Linked DNA regions of Saccharomyces cerevisiae S288C. The protein of the gene in region 3 binds, or shares a complex with, the protein of the main gene of each other region. Each region holds a gene or a part of one and is shown on either strand. Other genes may lie near its edges. The genes, in order: TIM54, TIM18, TIM9 and TIM12. A codon is read from its position in the direction of its gene.

Region 1 (4,382 bases), on a different chromosome or scaffold from region 3:
TGTGCTCGAACCATCGCAGCCGTTACCGGCATTATTGTGGTCGTGGTGGTTAATGTGTTTTCCAAACGGTACTTCATACAAAGAAGAAATATTGCATAAATCTTCCAAAATCTTCAAATCCATATCAGTATTTAAGATATGTTCGTGATAAGCATGATTTGTACCTTGCAAAGTGTTTGTAGGTTTTCGTAAAGATGAACATTTGGGTGGTAGTTGAGGTGGCTTTGACTCTAAATGCATATGCTTAGAACAAGGTTGATTATCAGTGCTCTCCTCACAAAATTTGCAGTATTTATGGAAAACGTCATCATTATTTGATGATTGATGATCTTGAACAAACTTGTGACCACTAGTCGCGCTCGTGCTAGCCGTGCATGGGGTGTCACAGGTCAAATCGCAATCAATCTCCGATAAGTGAGACATCAGCTGAGAAAAGCTATCTGGTACAGTATTATTGTGATTGTGAGAGTCGTGATTGGTACTATTACAGTACTGATCATGAAGGTTAAAATTTGGCATCAAGTGATCGTTCTTTACATCTGTGAATATTGCAACATCATTGCCGTTCTCAGATATGTCTTTCTTTGTCGGTTGATCAGATTCACCTTGTTTTATATTAGCCTCACTTTTGGGATGAGTTTCGTCACAACATATTTCCAAAATCTTGGGCGTACAATAACAATCATCGGATCCAGGTGGTGGGTTCGGTTTATTTTTCTTGGAAGAGGGCAGCAGTATCAGATCGTCGTTAAACCAAGAATCTTTTCTACGTGGTAGGTCGCTTTTAGAATTCTGTTGGGGACTTGTCGGATCAGAAGCTACCGAATGGAAATTGTTTGCAAAAGAATGATTATTAGAATTATACGTTGCAGTATCATTATATTTTGTTAATGACGGATTATTGTGATAATTCAAGAACTCGAAATGTTGGCAGTCGGTGTACTCCTTGCATTTCTCATTGACGTGGCAATCACCACCCATATCATGGCTAGCTCCAGATGCAAATGCGGAAGTAGCGGCATCAGCAACAGCTGCGGCTGCAGGTGTTGCCGAAGCACTACTGTCGTTCACAGGCGCGCTGTGGTGAAGGTGACCATGGATATAGGTCAGGTTGTTGTAGTTATGGATGTGCCCGTGGACAATGCCTTCTTTACCTATCGTCAGAGCATCAGGCTTGGCAGAAGCAGCAGTGGCCGCACTCGTGGCCATCGAGTCATCGCGCTTGGGGGAGTCCCTGGGAGTCAACGCATCCATTAGTTCCTATCCTTCTTCTATTTAAAAAACCGTAACACATAAAAAGTAAAAGTGTAATGCTTCCGTCTCGCCGCTGGCCTATATTCACAGTGACTGCAGTTGCATCTTATATTGCCAAGCACGTTTCATCATGACCTTTAGGGTAGATGACTGCTGTCAACTACTCCGTCTGCAGTGATATATAATCATGTTTTGGGCGTTTAAGGAAGGAGAATTATTTCCAACAGTTGAATAGGAAGATCCCTAGAGTAAATCGCAGGCAATCCAGTACTAAGAAACGGCGATGACAATGGAAAAAAATGGAGGTAATAGCAGCCGTGGTGGCCAAGTAGGCGGCAAGTCTGTGTGTGTTTACTGCGGGTCTTCATTTGGCGCTAAGGCGCTATACTCAGAAAGTGCAGAAGAATTAGGAGCCCTTTTCCATAAGCTGGGATGGAAATTGGTATACGGTGGAGGCACTACTGGTTTGATGGGCAAGATAGCAAGGTCTACGATGGGACCTGATTTAAGCGGACAGGTTCACGGTATCATTCCAAATGCACTTGTGTCTAAGGAAAGGACAGACGAGGATAAAGAAGATGTTAATAAAGCATTGTTGGAGTCTGTAGAAAATCATAAGGGCGCCACTCCTATTTCTGAAGAGTATGGGGAAACAACGATTGTACCAGATATGCATACGAGAAAAAGAATGATGGCAAATTTGAGTGACGCGTTTGTTGCTATGCCTGGTGGATACGGGACTTTTGAAGAAATCATGGAATGTATCACGTGGTCGCAACTGGGGATTCATAATAAACCAATTATCTTGTTCAATATCGATGGGTTCTATGACAAATTATTGGAGTTCCTCAAACACTCTATTCAAGAACGGTTCATCAGTGTGAAGAATGGTGAAATCATTCAAGTTGCCTCCACTCCGCAGGAAGTTGTTGATAAAATAGAGAAGTACGTCGTTCCAGAGGGCCGTTTCAATTTGAATTGGAGCGACGAAGGTCACGCTCACGAGGATTGTGCTAAATAATAGAAACGTAAGTCATGTATCTAGTTTAAACGATCTGTATAGATAATGTGGTGAAAAATCCAAATTTTTAGGAGCTGTCTTTCTAAGCCCGAAGGCTGGAAAAAATAGTACTGATGGCAAAGACATCATAGCTTTAAAGTCCATTGTTCTCAAAAGAAGCTCAATAGACCATGTCTTCTGAATCAGGAAAGCCTATTGCTAAGCCTATTAGGAAGCCTGGCTATACCAATCCGGCTTTAAAAGCCCTTGGTATACCCGCCTTGAGGCTGCCTTCTCGAAACTGGATGATCTTTTGGTCTGTGTTAACAGTATCCATCGGTGGCATAGCCTATGACAAATACAAGCAACGTCAGATTCTGAGCCATGCAACAGACTTGGTGAAGCCTTTGGCAGAGGAGTCCATGGAGGTAGACAAAGTGCCACGAAAGATCACTGTTTTTATTGCACCTCCTCCAAATGATTATCTGGAGAGTTCGTTGAAAGTTTGGAGACGATATGTTAAGCCTGTACTGTATTATGCAGGGTTGGACTATGAATTAGTTCAAGAGGATAGGCAAGGGATTATTAGAACTAATGTAGCCAACAGAATCAGAGAATTGAGAAAGGAAATATTGGCATCGACGGATGGGCAGCCAGTTAAAGAGCCTAACCAAACGGTAGCAAAACCAAGTGGTTCTTCAACCAGTAAAATTTCATCACTACTACCGTTCAATAAAATCATTCAAGATCCTGCTGAAGAAGATGACTCGTTTGATCCAGAAATCGGTAAAAAGTTCAAGGAGAACTTCGACTGGAGAAACGTTATAGGTATCTTCTATACAATGCCAAAACCGAAGCATATAATAAGTGAAGACGCCCTGACAAAGGACCCTATATTATCTGGTGGTGTTATTTGTTTAGGTAGAGGCGCCTATAAGGAGTACATTGCCGGTATTCACGAAGGCTTGCTTGGACCCATCGAGAAGACCGAAAAAACAGGATCCACTGAGCCTAAGATGACTGGGGTTGTAGAAGCAAATCAAATAGAATCAAAGGTAAGTGAATCCGGTGCTACGGAACTGGTGGATGCCGAGAAAGAGACTGCTTTGGAAGAGGCCAAAGTACAAGATGATCTAAAGGTTGATGAAGAAAACAGCTCAGAGGATTCGCAAAAATTTTTGAAGCCATTTATTTCTTCAGACCAATACCCTGACCTGCAAATCGCTTCGGAATTACAAACTCCAAATGGCGAATTCATAAGAAACCCCAATACAAATATCCCGCTTCTGATTAATCAGCCGTTATTGGTCATTCCAATACCTAACTTGATAGGTTTTACTACCATTCCAAGGAGAATACATCGTTTTTACCAGAAGCGTTTCTACGTAGAGGACGTGTGTTCAAGTGTAGTTAACTGTGTTCGACAAACCCGTATAAGACCGTTTGATATTGCAAAGGATATTGATTTGGCGAAGGACGAAGAAAAAGATTGGCCACAGAACTGGGTCAAACAGGGTAAAGAAAAGAACAGCGAATGGACCCAAGAATTAGTATGTGATCCTAGAATCACGAAGCATATGTTTGTTTACGAAAAACCACCCAAGGAAGAGCCAGAATCAGATATTTAATTGGATATATATTATGTTTTATCATCATGCACGATCGACGTTATGTCTGACATATACCAAACCCTTTTCGAAGATTTCCCTTTACTCATGTTGAAATAGTTTTTATATATGCACACATATACATATATATAAAATCTGTAAATATAATAAAATGTGTACATTGTAAAAGAATCCAAGCACAACTATTATTAGCATTATGAGTATTTTTTTCAAGCCGCCGATTGATATTGAGATCCTTTTCGATAATGAGGAATCTCGCAAACACGTAGACATTGCAACAAGATCAAGTAATTCCAGTTACAAATCAATGAAGGAAAGCTTGCCCGTCTATGAAGATGGCGAATCCCTTGGTGGAATTGTTACTTTGAGAGTTCGGGATAGTAAAAAGGTAGACCACTTGGGCATAAAAGTGTCCGTTATTGGATCCATTGATATGTTAAAATCTCATGGGAGCGGTAATTCATCTTCTAAAAAAGTTACCTCTAGCACATCATCTTCCT
Region 2 (3,226 bases), on a different chromosome or scaffold from region 3:
CGAGTAATGGTTGAATTTGATGCTTTTTTACATTTACCATCACAACAATGGGGTCCTTATCCTTTATGTTGTTTTCAGACTCCATTTCTGGTTGAATCATCTCAAAGATTGTCGGAGATATTTGCTCTAATTGATAACCTTTATGAAGTCTCAAATCTCCGTTGGTATGATCATGCCCACTATCAGTATATTTGACTCGGTAATAAATTATGGTGACATCATATATGTATGGATTGATTCGTACCACCTTGGGCTTGCCGCTGCTGATTTCTTCCTTTTTTGTAAGTAAGTATGAATTATCTACGATCATGGGCGGCGTCGTCTTATCGGATACCTTGGAAGACTCCATTTTCATGCTCTTGTGAACTAATTTGTCAAGTTCTCTGTGAAACAGGTATCGGGCCTCTTTGATTATATTGTTACGGTTTTTCTTTCTTTTGATGTTTTTAATTGATGAAAAAGCAGCCATCAAAGTGGTAAAGTTTTTAAATCTTGGGTATAATAAATTATAGAAGTTTATAACAAAGGGAAAATCTTGGTGTAATTTTCTTTGAATAATTGATAGTTCCAAACTCATGATATTGACTTCGGGAAAAATAGTAATAGCTTGATTGTTTTGTCTTTCTAAAATATCTCTTAACTCATTCGATGAGAGTGCGAGTGTTTCATCTTTGAAGAATATGTTCTTTAGTAGATCCAATCGAGGAAAGTTAAACATTTTTCCCCAACCAAGAAATTTTAACTGAGGCCATTCAGCTAGATCTTCCCCCTTCCTCAGCTTTTGTAGAAATTCCCATTTAGTATAAAACTTGGTGGGACAACTTTTGAGAAAAAGGTAATTAATCAATGTGTAGTCATTCACTGATCGATGATTACATATCATTAATGTGGTTTGGAATTTGCTATCTTTAAAAAAGTTTAGGTCATCACTTCCCTCGGTTATGAAAATTTGGACGTTTTTTTTTTTTTCGAAGGTCATTTCAACTAAATGTAGCTGAAACCAAATTTCAATCGCCTCCAGCACCTTGTCTAAAGTTGGTATTATTTTCAGTTTACTATATGTCAGTGCCCTCGAGAGCAGCCGAATTTTGTACTCACCTATTATGGGCACATGCGACCAAAATCTGTCATATAGTAAATGCAGTCTAAGACAGAAGGAATTCGTGTTAATGAACTGTAGGAATTGATTGATTGCAGTAAAAAAAGAATGAAGGTAAAAATAGCCAAAAAGAATAAGCAACCTTGGGGTCAGACTCAACCAATCAGAAATATCTAACTGTTTGAACTGGACCCTAGAACCGACCATATATGTTTCGAAGAAATCAACAAAACCCATCTTAAAGTTATACCTTTCGTTTAGTTTTCTGTGTGGAAAAGAGAAATTTTATTTGATTAAGATTAACAATGAATCTATTATGGTGCATATCTTGCCCTGTTAACTTTCAATTTTTCATTTTGTGTCGCTACATGCCTTGTTGACACTCGGTTTTTTTGAAAAACAAACCATTCTCGCAAAAGATCGGATAAAAATGAAAACTTCCAGACAGTGGAATGCACACATTAATTAACGGTGATGCGAGGTGCAACAACTGAGTAATTTAATACCTTTGGTAATGCTATTGTTTCCTGGCTTGAAGCCTGTTCTTAATGCTTCCACTGTCATTGTAAATCCTGTACGAGCTGTTTTTCCAGGATTAGTACTTTCAACCAAAAGATCCTTTTATAGCATTAATCGTTTAAATGCTGAAAATAAAATAAACGATATTGCAAATACGTCAAAAGAGGCATCCTCTTCAGTGCAGATGTTTAAGCCCCCAGAGTTCTCTCAATTTAAGGACTCTTATCAAAAAGACTATGAGAGAATAGCAAAATATACTTTGATTCCATTAACAATGGTACCTTTTTATGCCTCCTTTACCGGCGGGGTTATAAATCCTTTACTCGATGCGTCTTTATCGTCCATTTTTTTGATATATTTACAGTATGGCTTCACAAGTTGTATTATTGACTATATACCGAAGGAAAAGTATCCAAGATGGCATAAGCTCGCCCTTTATTGCCTCTATGGAGGATCCATGTTGTCCCTGTACGGTATCTACGAATTGGAAACGAAAAATAATGGTTTTGTTGACCTGGTAAAGAAACTTTGGAATGAAAATGATGACCATTTGTATATATTTGGAAGAAACTGACTCACCCATACTTTTTCTTTTTTTTTGCATTTCTAAGATTTCATTTTTAGAGTCAGATTCCCCATGAACTTAACTTAGGAGAGATTTTATAAAAAGACAAATAAGCAATAAAATATATCCTTCTTCTCGAAATCCAGATATATATGTATATATCGATCTGCTTGGATTGGTACAAGACGATCAATTCTTGTCGAGTGAAACGCCTAGGGATACAGAAAGGAAAAGTAGGAATTCGTGATTGCTAGTATTCTCATTCTGTCTAAAGTGCCTTTTTTATTATTATCTGTATGCTTTTTGTTTCTTTAATGATGAGGAACGAATTTTTATACTACAAAAAAATAATGTTTACAATTTTTATCAATGTATTGAAACATTTTAATATTTGTTAGGATTCGCCTTTATTTCACAATCAAAAGGAAACACATAAAAAAAGTGTCATGCTCTACGTGAATAAAGAATTAGTGAAATAATAATAAGGCAATCAGAATACAACTATCGCACTATCTGCGAAACTTTTTACTATATGGGTATAAATGCTAAACGGAAAACTTGTCCATAAAACTATGATTCTTATAATAAACGATGATACACGTTCATTCATTTTTTATCGACGCTCAAATATAGGGTGGAACTGTTTAGTCAGCACCCCATGTATATATATAAAAGAGACTTCAGTTTCTGCCCTTTTTTCCTGTAGGAGTGACCGCTCTACTCACCGCTCTTCTATTTTTCATAGTATTAACAAGTTCTTTTCTGTCATGTAAAATTCGATGAACGTAATCATGTTGGCCTTTCGCGATCAATATTCTCAATATAATATTCATTACTTCTGCATCACGTTCCAGTTGTTCCTTAGGCTCTTTTACAATGTTAGCTACTAGCGACTTTTTTCGAGATATTGTTCCAGCGGATTTATTCGTAAAAGTAATCGGAGTTTTCTTCAGATAAAACCATCTCAAATACTCTTCATATAGGGGAATCAATCGCTGAACTTCATCCTTCAATTCGGAGACACTTTTATCATAAAAAGCTGG
Region 3 (3,029 bases):
CATCACACTTGCTGGAAGATAATAACGATCTGCGTAAAAACGAGATATTCGCTATTATTCAAGCTTTGGCACATCAATGCATCAATCCGTGTAAGCAGATAAGTGAATTTGCAGTGGTAACGCTAGAGCAGACGCTCATCAATAAAATCGAAATTCCAACTAATGAGATGGAATCGGTAGAAGAATTAATTGAGGGCGGATTACTACCGTTGCTAAATTCGAGTGAAACACAGGAAGACCAGAAAATCCTCATTTCATCCATATTAACAATAATTTCAAATGTTTATTTGCATTATTTGAAACTAGGGAAGACAAGCAACGAAACGTTTTTGAAAATTTTGAGTATTTTCAATAAATTTGTAGAGGACTCAGATATTGAAAAAAAGCTACAGCAATTAATACTTGATAAGAAGAGTATTGAGAAGGGCAACGGTTCATCATCTCATGGATCTGCACATGAACAAACACCAGAGTCAAACGACGTTGAAATTGAGGCTACTGCGCCAATTGATGACAATACAGACGATGATAACAAACCGAAGTTATCTGATGTAGAAAAGGATTAAAGATGCTAAGAGATAGTGATGATATTTCATAAATAATGTAATTCTATATATGTTAATTACCTTTTTTGCGAGGCATATTTATGGTGAAGGATAAGTTTTGACCATCAAAGAAGGTTAATGTGGCTGTGGTTTCAGGGTCCATAAAGCTTTTCAATTCATCTTTTTTTTTTTTGTTCTTTTTTTTGATTCCGGTTTCTTTGAAATTTTTTTGATTCGGTAATCTCCGAGCAGAAGGAAGAACGAAGGAAGGAGCACAGACTTAGATTGGTATATATACGCATATGTGGTGTTGAAGAAACATGAAATTGCCCAGTATTCTTAACCCAACTGCACAGAACAAAAACCTGCAGGAAACGAAGATAAATCATGTCGAAAGCTACATATAAGGAACGTGCTGCTACTCATCCTAGTCCTGTTGCTGCCAAGCTATTTAATATCATGCACGAAAAGCAAACAAACTTGTGTGCTTCATTGGATGTTCGTACCACCAAGGAATTACTGGAGTTAGTTGAAGCATTAGGTCCCAAAATTTGTTTACTAAAAACACATGTGGATATCTTGACTGATTTTTCCATGGAGGGCACAGTTAAGCCGCTAAAGGCATTATCCGCCAAGTACAATTTTTTACTCTTCGAAGACAGAAAATTTGCTGACATTGGTAATACAGTCAAATTGCAGTACTCTGCGGGTGTATACAGAATAGCAGAATGGGCAGACATTACGAATGCACACGGTGTGGTGGGCCCAGGTATTGTTAGCGGTTTGAAGCAGGCGGCGGAAGAAGTAACAAAGGAACCTAGAGGCCTTTTGATGTTAGCAGAATTGTCATGCAAGGGCTCCCTAGCTACTGGAGAATATACTAAGGGTACTGTTGACATTGCGAAGAGCGACAAAGATTTTGTTATCGGCTTTATTGCTCAAAGAGACATGGGTGGAAGAGATGAAGGTTACGATTGGTTGATTATGACACCCGGTGTGGGTTTAGATGACAAGGGAGACGCATTGGGTCAACAGTATAGAACCGTGGATGATGTGGTCTCTACAGGATCTGACATTATTATTGTTGGAAGAGGACTATTTGCAAAGGGAAGGGATGCTAAGGTAGAGGGTGAACGTTACAGAAAAGCAGGCTGGGAAGCATATTTGAGAAGATGCGGCCAGCAAAACTAAAAAACTGTATTATAAGTAAATGCATGTATACTAAACTCACAAATTAGAGCTTCAATTTAATTATATCAGTTATTACCCGGGAATCTCGGTCGTAATGATTTCTATAATGACGAAAAAAAAAAAATTGGAAAGAAAAAGCTTCATGGCCTTTATAAAAAGGAACTATCCAATACCTCGCCAGAACCAAGTAACAGTATTTTACGGGGCACAAATCAAGAACAATAAGACAGGACTGTAAAGATGGACGCATTGAACTCCAAAGAACAACAAGAGTTCCAAAAAGTAGTGGAACAAAAGCAAATGAAGGATTTCATGCGTTTGTACTCTAATCTGGTAGAAAGATGTTTCACAGACTGTGTCAATGACTTCACAACATCAAAGCTAACCAATAAGGAACAAACATGCATCATGAAGTGCTCAGAAAAGTTCTTGAAGCATAGCGAACGTGTAGGGCAGCGTTTCCAAGAACAAAACGCTGCCTTGGGACAAGGCTTGGGCCGATAAGGTGTACTGGCGTATATATATCTAATTATGTATCTCTGGTGTAGCCCATTTTTAGCATGTAAATATAAAGAGAAACCATATCTAATCTAACCAAATCCAAACAAAATTCAATAGTTACTATCGCTTTTTTCTTTCTGTATCGCAAATAAGTGAAAATTAAAAAAGAAAGATTAAATTGGAAGTTGGATATGGGCTGGAACAGCAGCAGTAATCGGTATCGGGTTCGCCACTAATGACGTCCTACGATTGCACTCAACAGACCTTGACGCTCACGCCGTAGCGGGCGACAAGTCAAACGGAACAACCGTTGCCGTTCCCATCGGAGTCCGACCTAGGCCGAACTCCGTGAATTTCTGATAACAACGGTCGGTAAAGACTGGTTCCCCAGTATATTTCTTCTCTCAGGAGCAGGGGCCAATGCCAAAAGCGACATTAACCCGGAGGACAAGGCTCCACTGTGTTCCACCGAATTTCCCACCTGATAATATCTGATAACCCGCCCATAGGTGGGGATCCTTCTGTAAACAGGTTTCTTAATCGTAGGAATTACCACTGTTCCACTGCCAATCGCAGCTCCCAGAGTTTCGTTCCCAGCCGCGAGCACCACAGCGTACCATGTGCGCCACGAGGCCTCAAACGTAAAACAATCGAAACGAAAAGAAACAGACTATAGGGGAGTATAGAGACAGCCGGCCAATAAGAAGAGGAAAAAGAAATACTAGCGTTTATCAATGTGGGTCGTTAACATATCCTGTTGACAATGATTACAGGTTAAAAGGTAGCGTAAGT
Region 4 (3,162 bases), on a different chromosome or scaffold from region 3:
CAGTCCTTTAGAGGATACTACAGTAGAAAGCTAGAGTCCTGACTTACAACTTGAGCATGCCGTTATGGGCGGCTATTTCATTTCACCTGAACCGTATTAAAATATCATCTTCCTTGCTGCTACAACCTTCATTGTAGCCGGTTTATAAGATTACCATCATTGTCTACCCCTCTTTAACTTCTCCCGAAAAGCAGAGTTGCCCTTAGCTGTATCCTGTTCTAGCTGTGCTAAACTGTACGTTCTTATTAAGCCCATCCTCGTCCGCTGGGCTCACCCAGCGCCTTACATACTTTGCGAAAAAGTCGTTTTTCTGCTTGGTGTTAGGAGCTGTCTCCCATAGTGTAAACTCCCAGTATTGCCTCAACCTCACTTGCTGTACTTTATAGTTGCCGCGCCACCTAAAAAAAAAAACAAAAAAGACACCACCTAAAAAAACGGGTGAGGGGAATGCACGTGACCCAGGTGCGGGTACCATATAAATGTACTTCTAAAATTGTCTACACAGCTTATAATGCTATATATGCAGGTTACTATTATATACAAACAGCACAGACAGTCCTCATATTTACAGCTATTTTTTGGAATCATCAGCTATTTCTTTGGCCACAAATCGCGAATAATGTCGTAGCTGATTCTCTGGCCCGAAACCTCGTGTTTGTACAAATCCTCCAATGAGGCGATTGCTGTAATGCATCTTTGCCACACATCTGTCTATGCAGCATTGCTCACCTTTCGTTAGATCAGGCTCACCAAAGCCCTCATGCGGAATACATTTCTCAAGACACGTACTGAGAATATTGTTGAAAGTCGAGCACATCGCATCGAATTGCACTCCTGCAACGTCTAGCTTCTCTTGCGAGACCTCCTGGTTGCCCCTTAGACTATTTAAAAAGAACGACATCCTTTTCTTGGTGCACTTTAATATTATACGGGAGCTCCGATATCTATTTCAGCAATATAGACTACAATCAACTTTGCTGTTCTTACTTTTTAGTTAACTTTTTTCTTTTCATTCTGCCGCTAATCTACAAACTCGTTACCCTACTAGTACATAAAAGAAGATCAGAATCGATGGGTATTTATTTATATTTGCAATATTATTTATTTATACAATTTATTGTTTTAATAGGGTATCGTTGTAGTGAGTAGTATTCCAGTCCCAGTAGAAGGTCAATTCGGTGACGTTACTGACACTGCTGACGTTACAGACCTTTAGGAAGTCAGTACCAGCTACTCTCTTTTCAGCATAGTCGTAGAAATCATTGATTTCACAAGAGAACCCTGGGCCGGTGGAACAGGTTTCAATTGGAACGACAGCATCGTTAATGACGTATCTGACGTAGGTGTCGTTAGAACATTGGAATTTTTCGGTGTAGACACGAGCACCTTGAGGAACGTACCAGGACTTATGGAAGGTGTTGCCCATGAATGGAACGTATTCGGCAGTTAAGTTGTTTTTGTCGTCAATTATACCAGCGGTGGTCAAATAGTTTAGGATATCGGTATCGTGGGTAAAACTCAACCAGACTTTTAAGTCTTGAGTTTCACTTTGCTTTAACAACTTCAAAGTAGCGTTAAACAAGTTGGCACCGACGGATCTGATCATATCATAACCTGGTCCATCCTGGTAAAACGATACCAGGTCCTGGCCGTATGAGTAACGTACCAATTCATCTTCGGTGAAGATATCACAAACATCACTGTAGCCTCTAGCGTTCAATTCGTATGCACACCATGCAAACAAAGTGTTGGCGTCCTTTGAGGTCAAATTCAAACCCTTGTTTTCTTTGTTTAATCTCTTGGCAATGTCATCCAAGTATGTGGTATCGTATTTGTCCAAAATGTCATCGTTAGCATCTTCATCCCATCCTGGGCACGCATTACCAGCACTCAAAGTGTTTGCGCCGGCGGACATGGCTTCACTGACAGTCTGCAAGGAGATGTTGAATTGGTCACCTAAACCATCAATGAAATATTGAGCAGTGTCATGAACCCTTTCAGAACTAGCGGCGAAAATTGGGAAACTGGTTTGATTTTCGAACATGTAGCCATATTGCGCTAAAAACTCACGAGCATGTCTCTTAGCATCCATCTCACCAGTGTATGGATTCAAAACATTGTCTGAGTTGGCAAAAGTGGTTTCCATTTCCAAATCATCGTCATCACGGATGAAAAACTCGTAATCATCGTTCAAGAATGACAATGAGCCGTTGAATTGACGTGTGTAATTGCTCAACTTATACCATGTTTTCATGATGGTAGCACCTTTACTGTAAGTTGGGTATCTTTCACCATGTCTGGCAAGCATTTGCAATTGTTTCATTTCACAACCTTCAGGCAAGTCACGAGAAATACCATAGTCGCCAGGGAAAGAGAAGTATGGCCCGGCACCACCCAGGAATGGGAATATGTCTTCCTGAGTGCCAATTTTGGCAACATCGGCTAACTCTCCGAGGGGAATTGTACCTGCATTAACTAAAGCAGCGGCTAGAACCGAATAAACAACAGACTTAAACATAGGTAATTTGGAATGGCCCTTTCTTTACTGTAGTATTTTTTTTATGATAATCAAGGCATAATTGACTTCCATCCAGCAAATTTAAGCACTTATATATGTTGCATAGGACTACTCAAAGCTGTTTACTATTTCCCAAACTGGTATTATTTAGTAAATTTCTTTTGAATTTTTTTTTTTTCACTCTTCCTTTTTTTCATTTTTGCGATGCCAGTTCTTTGAGTTTCCCTTATACGGCATATGCACTTAAGGTTTGATTTTGCTAATTAAAGGCGTGCCTAAGCGGCGACTAATACTGTAATATAATATGGGTTCCTGACTGACTACAGGGATTGAAACATCCATTTACCTGTTTCGGATATCTCTGCAGATTTTAATCTTTCGGCAAAATTTAGATAAAAAATTTGGGTATTCGTATTTAGTTTCCAATATTATTTAGTTATACAAAACTATTGTCTCAATAGACTGGCGTTGTAATGAGTAGTGTTCCAGTCCCAGTAGAAGGTCAATTCAGTAGAGTTACTGACGCTGCTGACGTTACAGACCTTTAGGAAGTCAGTACCGGCTACTCTCTTTTCAGCATAGTCGTAGAAGTCATTGATTTCACAAGAGAACCCTGGACCAGTGGAACAGGTTTCAATTGGAAC

The links.
Region 1: the proteins of TIM9 (region 3) and TIM54 are in contact, whole or in part, in a cryo-EM structure (PDB 6LO8), measured with the Saccharomyces cerevisiae proteins. Residues at the interface, in NP_010894.1 of Saccharomyces cerevisiae: Lys65 (codon at 2,169), Glu68 (codon at 2,178), Arg69 (codon at 2,181), Gln72 (codon at 2,190), Arg73 (codon at 2,193); in NP_012481.3 of Saccharomyces cerevisiae: Glu76 (codon at 2,671), Met78 (codon at 2,677), Glu79 (codon at 2,680), Val80 (codon at 2,683), Lys82 (codon at 2,689).
Region 2: the proteins of TIM9 (region 3) and TIM18 are in contact, whole or in part, in a cryo-EM structure (PDB 6LO8), measured with the Saccharomyces cerevisiae proteins. Residues at the interface, in NP_010894.1 of Saccharomyces cerevisiae: Asp42 (codon at 2,100), Thr44 (codon at 2,106), Thr45 (codon at 2,109), Ser46 (codon at 2,112), Lys47 (codon at 2,115), Leu48 (codon at 2,118), Thr49 (codon at 2,121), Asn50 (codon at 2,124), Lys51 (codon at 2,127); in NP_014940.4 of Saccharomyces cerevisiae: Val105 (codon at 1,926), Asn107 (codon at 1,932), Pro108 (codon at 1,935), Glu165 (codon at 2,106), Thr166 (codon at 2,109), Lys167 (codon at 2,112), Asn168 (codon at 2,115), Asn169 (codon at 2,118), Lys177 (codon at 2,142).
Region 4: the proteins of TIM9 (region 3) and TIM12 are in contact, whole or in part, in a cryo-EM structure (PDB 6LO8), measured with the Saccharomyces cerevisiae proteins. Residues at the interface, in NP_010894.1 of Saccharomyces cerevisiae: Gln13 (codon at 2,013), Val16 (codon at 2,022), Lys19 (codon at 2,031), Gln20 (codon at 2,034), Lys22 (codon at 2,040), Asp23 (codon at 2,043), Phe24 (codon at 2,046), Met25 (codon at 2,049), Leu27 (codon at 2,055), Tyr28 (codon at 2,058), Ser29 (codon at 2,061), Leu31 (codon at 2,067), Val32 (codon at 2,070), Glu33 (codon at 2,073), Cys35 (codon at 2,079), Phe36 (codon at 2,082), Thr37 (codon at 2,085), Val40 (codon at 2,094), Asn41 (codon at 2,097), Asp42 (codon at 2,100), Phe43 (codon at 2,103), Thr44 (codon at 2,106), Thr45 (codon at 2,109), Ser46 (codon at 2,112), Lys47 (codon at 2,115), Leu48 (codon at 2,118), Glu52 (codon at 2,130), Gln53 (codon at 2,133), Ile56 (codon at 2,142), Met57 (codon at 2,145); in NP_009649.1 of Saccharomyces cerevisiae: Asp27 (codon at 823), Ala28 (codon at 820), Ser31 (codon at 811), Asn35 (codon at 799), Thr39 (codon at 787), Glu42 (codon at 778), Lys43 (codon at 775), Cys62 (codon at 718), Arg65 (codon at 709), Cys66 (codon at 706), Ala68 (codon at 700), Lys69 (codon at 697), Met70 (codon at 694), Tyr72 (codon at 688), Ser73 (codon at 685), Asn74 (codon at 682), Leu76 (codon at 676), Ile77 (codon at 673), Gly78 (codon at 670), Phe80 (codon at 664), Val81 (codon at 661), Arg84 (codon at 652), Phe86 (codon at 646), Gly87 (codon at 643), Pro88 (codon at 640), Gln91 (codon at 631), Leu92 (codon at 628), Arg93 (codon at 625), His94 (codon at 622), Tyr95 (codon at 619).

What each region holds. Positions count from the first base shown.
Region 1 is NC_001142.9:331,820-336,201, forward strand, and holds TIM54 (Tim22-complex subunit TIM54), read left to right. Parts: upstream 1-2,445; coding exon 2,446-3,882; downstream 3,883-4,382. Other genes in the region: ZAP1 (Zap1p), read right to left, coding at 1-1,254; LOG1 (Log1p), read left to right, coding at 1,538-2,275; retromer subunit PEP8, read left to right, coding at 4,079-4,382. UniProt on the Saccharomyces cerevisiae protein: Essential component of the TIM22 complex, a complex that mediates the import and insertion of multi-pass transmembrane proteins into the mitochondrial inner membrane.
Region 2 is NC_001147.6:873,709-876,934, reverse strand, and holds TIM18 (Tim18p), read left to right. Parts: upstream 1-1,613; coding exon 1,614-2,192; downstream 2,193-3,226. Other genes in the region: MUM3 (Mum3p), read right to left, coding at 1-1,336; YOR296W (uncharacterized protein), read right to left, coding at 2,864-3,226. UniProt on the Saccharomyces cerevisiae protein: Component of the TIM22 complex, a complex that mediates the import and insertion of multi-pass transmembrane proteins into the mitochondrial inner membrane.
Region 3 is NC_001137.3:115,235-118,263, forward strand, and holds TIM9 (protein transporter TIM9), read left to right. Parts: upstream 1-1,976; coding exon 1,977-2,240; downstream 2,241-3,029. Other genes in the region: Arf family guanine nucleotide exchange factor GEA2, read left to right, coding at 1-566; URA3 (orotidine-5'-phosphate decarboxylase), read left to right, coding at 933-1,736. UniProt on the Saccharomyces cerevisiae protein: Mitochondrial intermembrane chaperone that participates in the import and insertion of multi-pass transmembrane proteins into the mitochondrial inner membrane.
Region 4 is NC_001134.8:426,584-429,745, forward strand, and holds TIM12 (Tim12p), read right to left. Parts: upstream 902-3,162; coding exon 572-901; downstream 1-571. Other genes in the region: YBR090C (uncharacterized protein), read right to left, coding at 291-475; acid phosphatase PHO3, read right to left, coding at 1,115-2,518; acid phosphatase PHO5, read right to left, coding at 2,965-3,162. UniProt on the Saccharomyces cerevisiae protein: Essential component of the TIM22 complex, a complex that mediates the import and insertion of multi-pass transmembrane proteins into the mitochondrial inner membrane.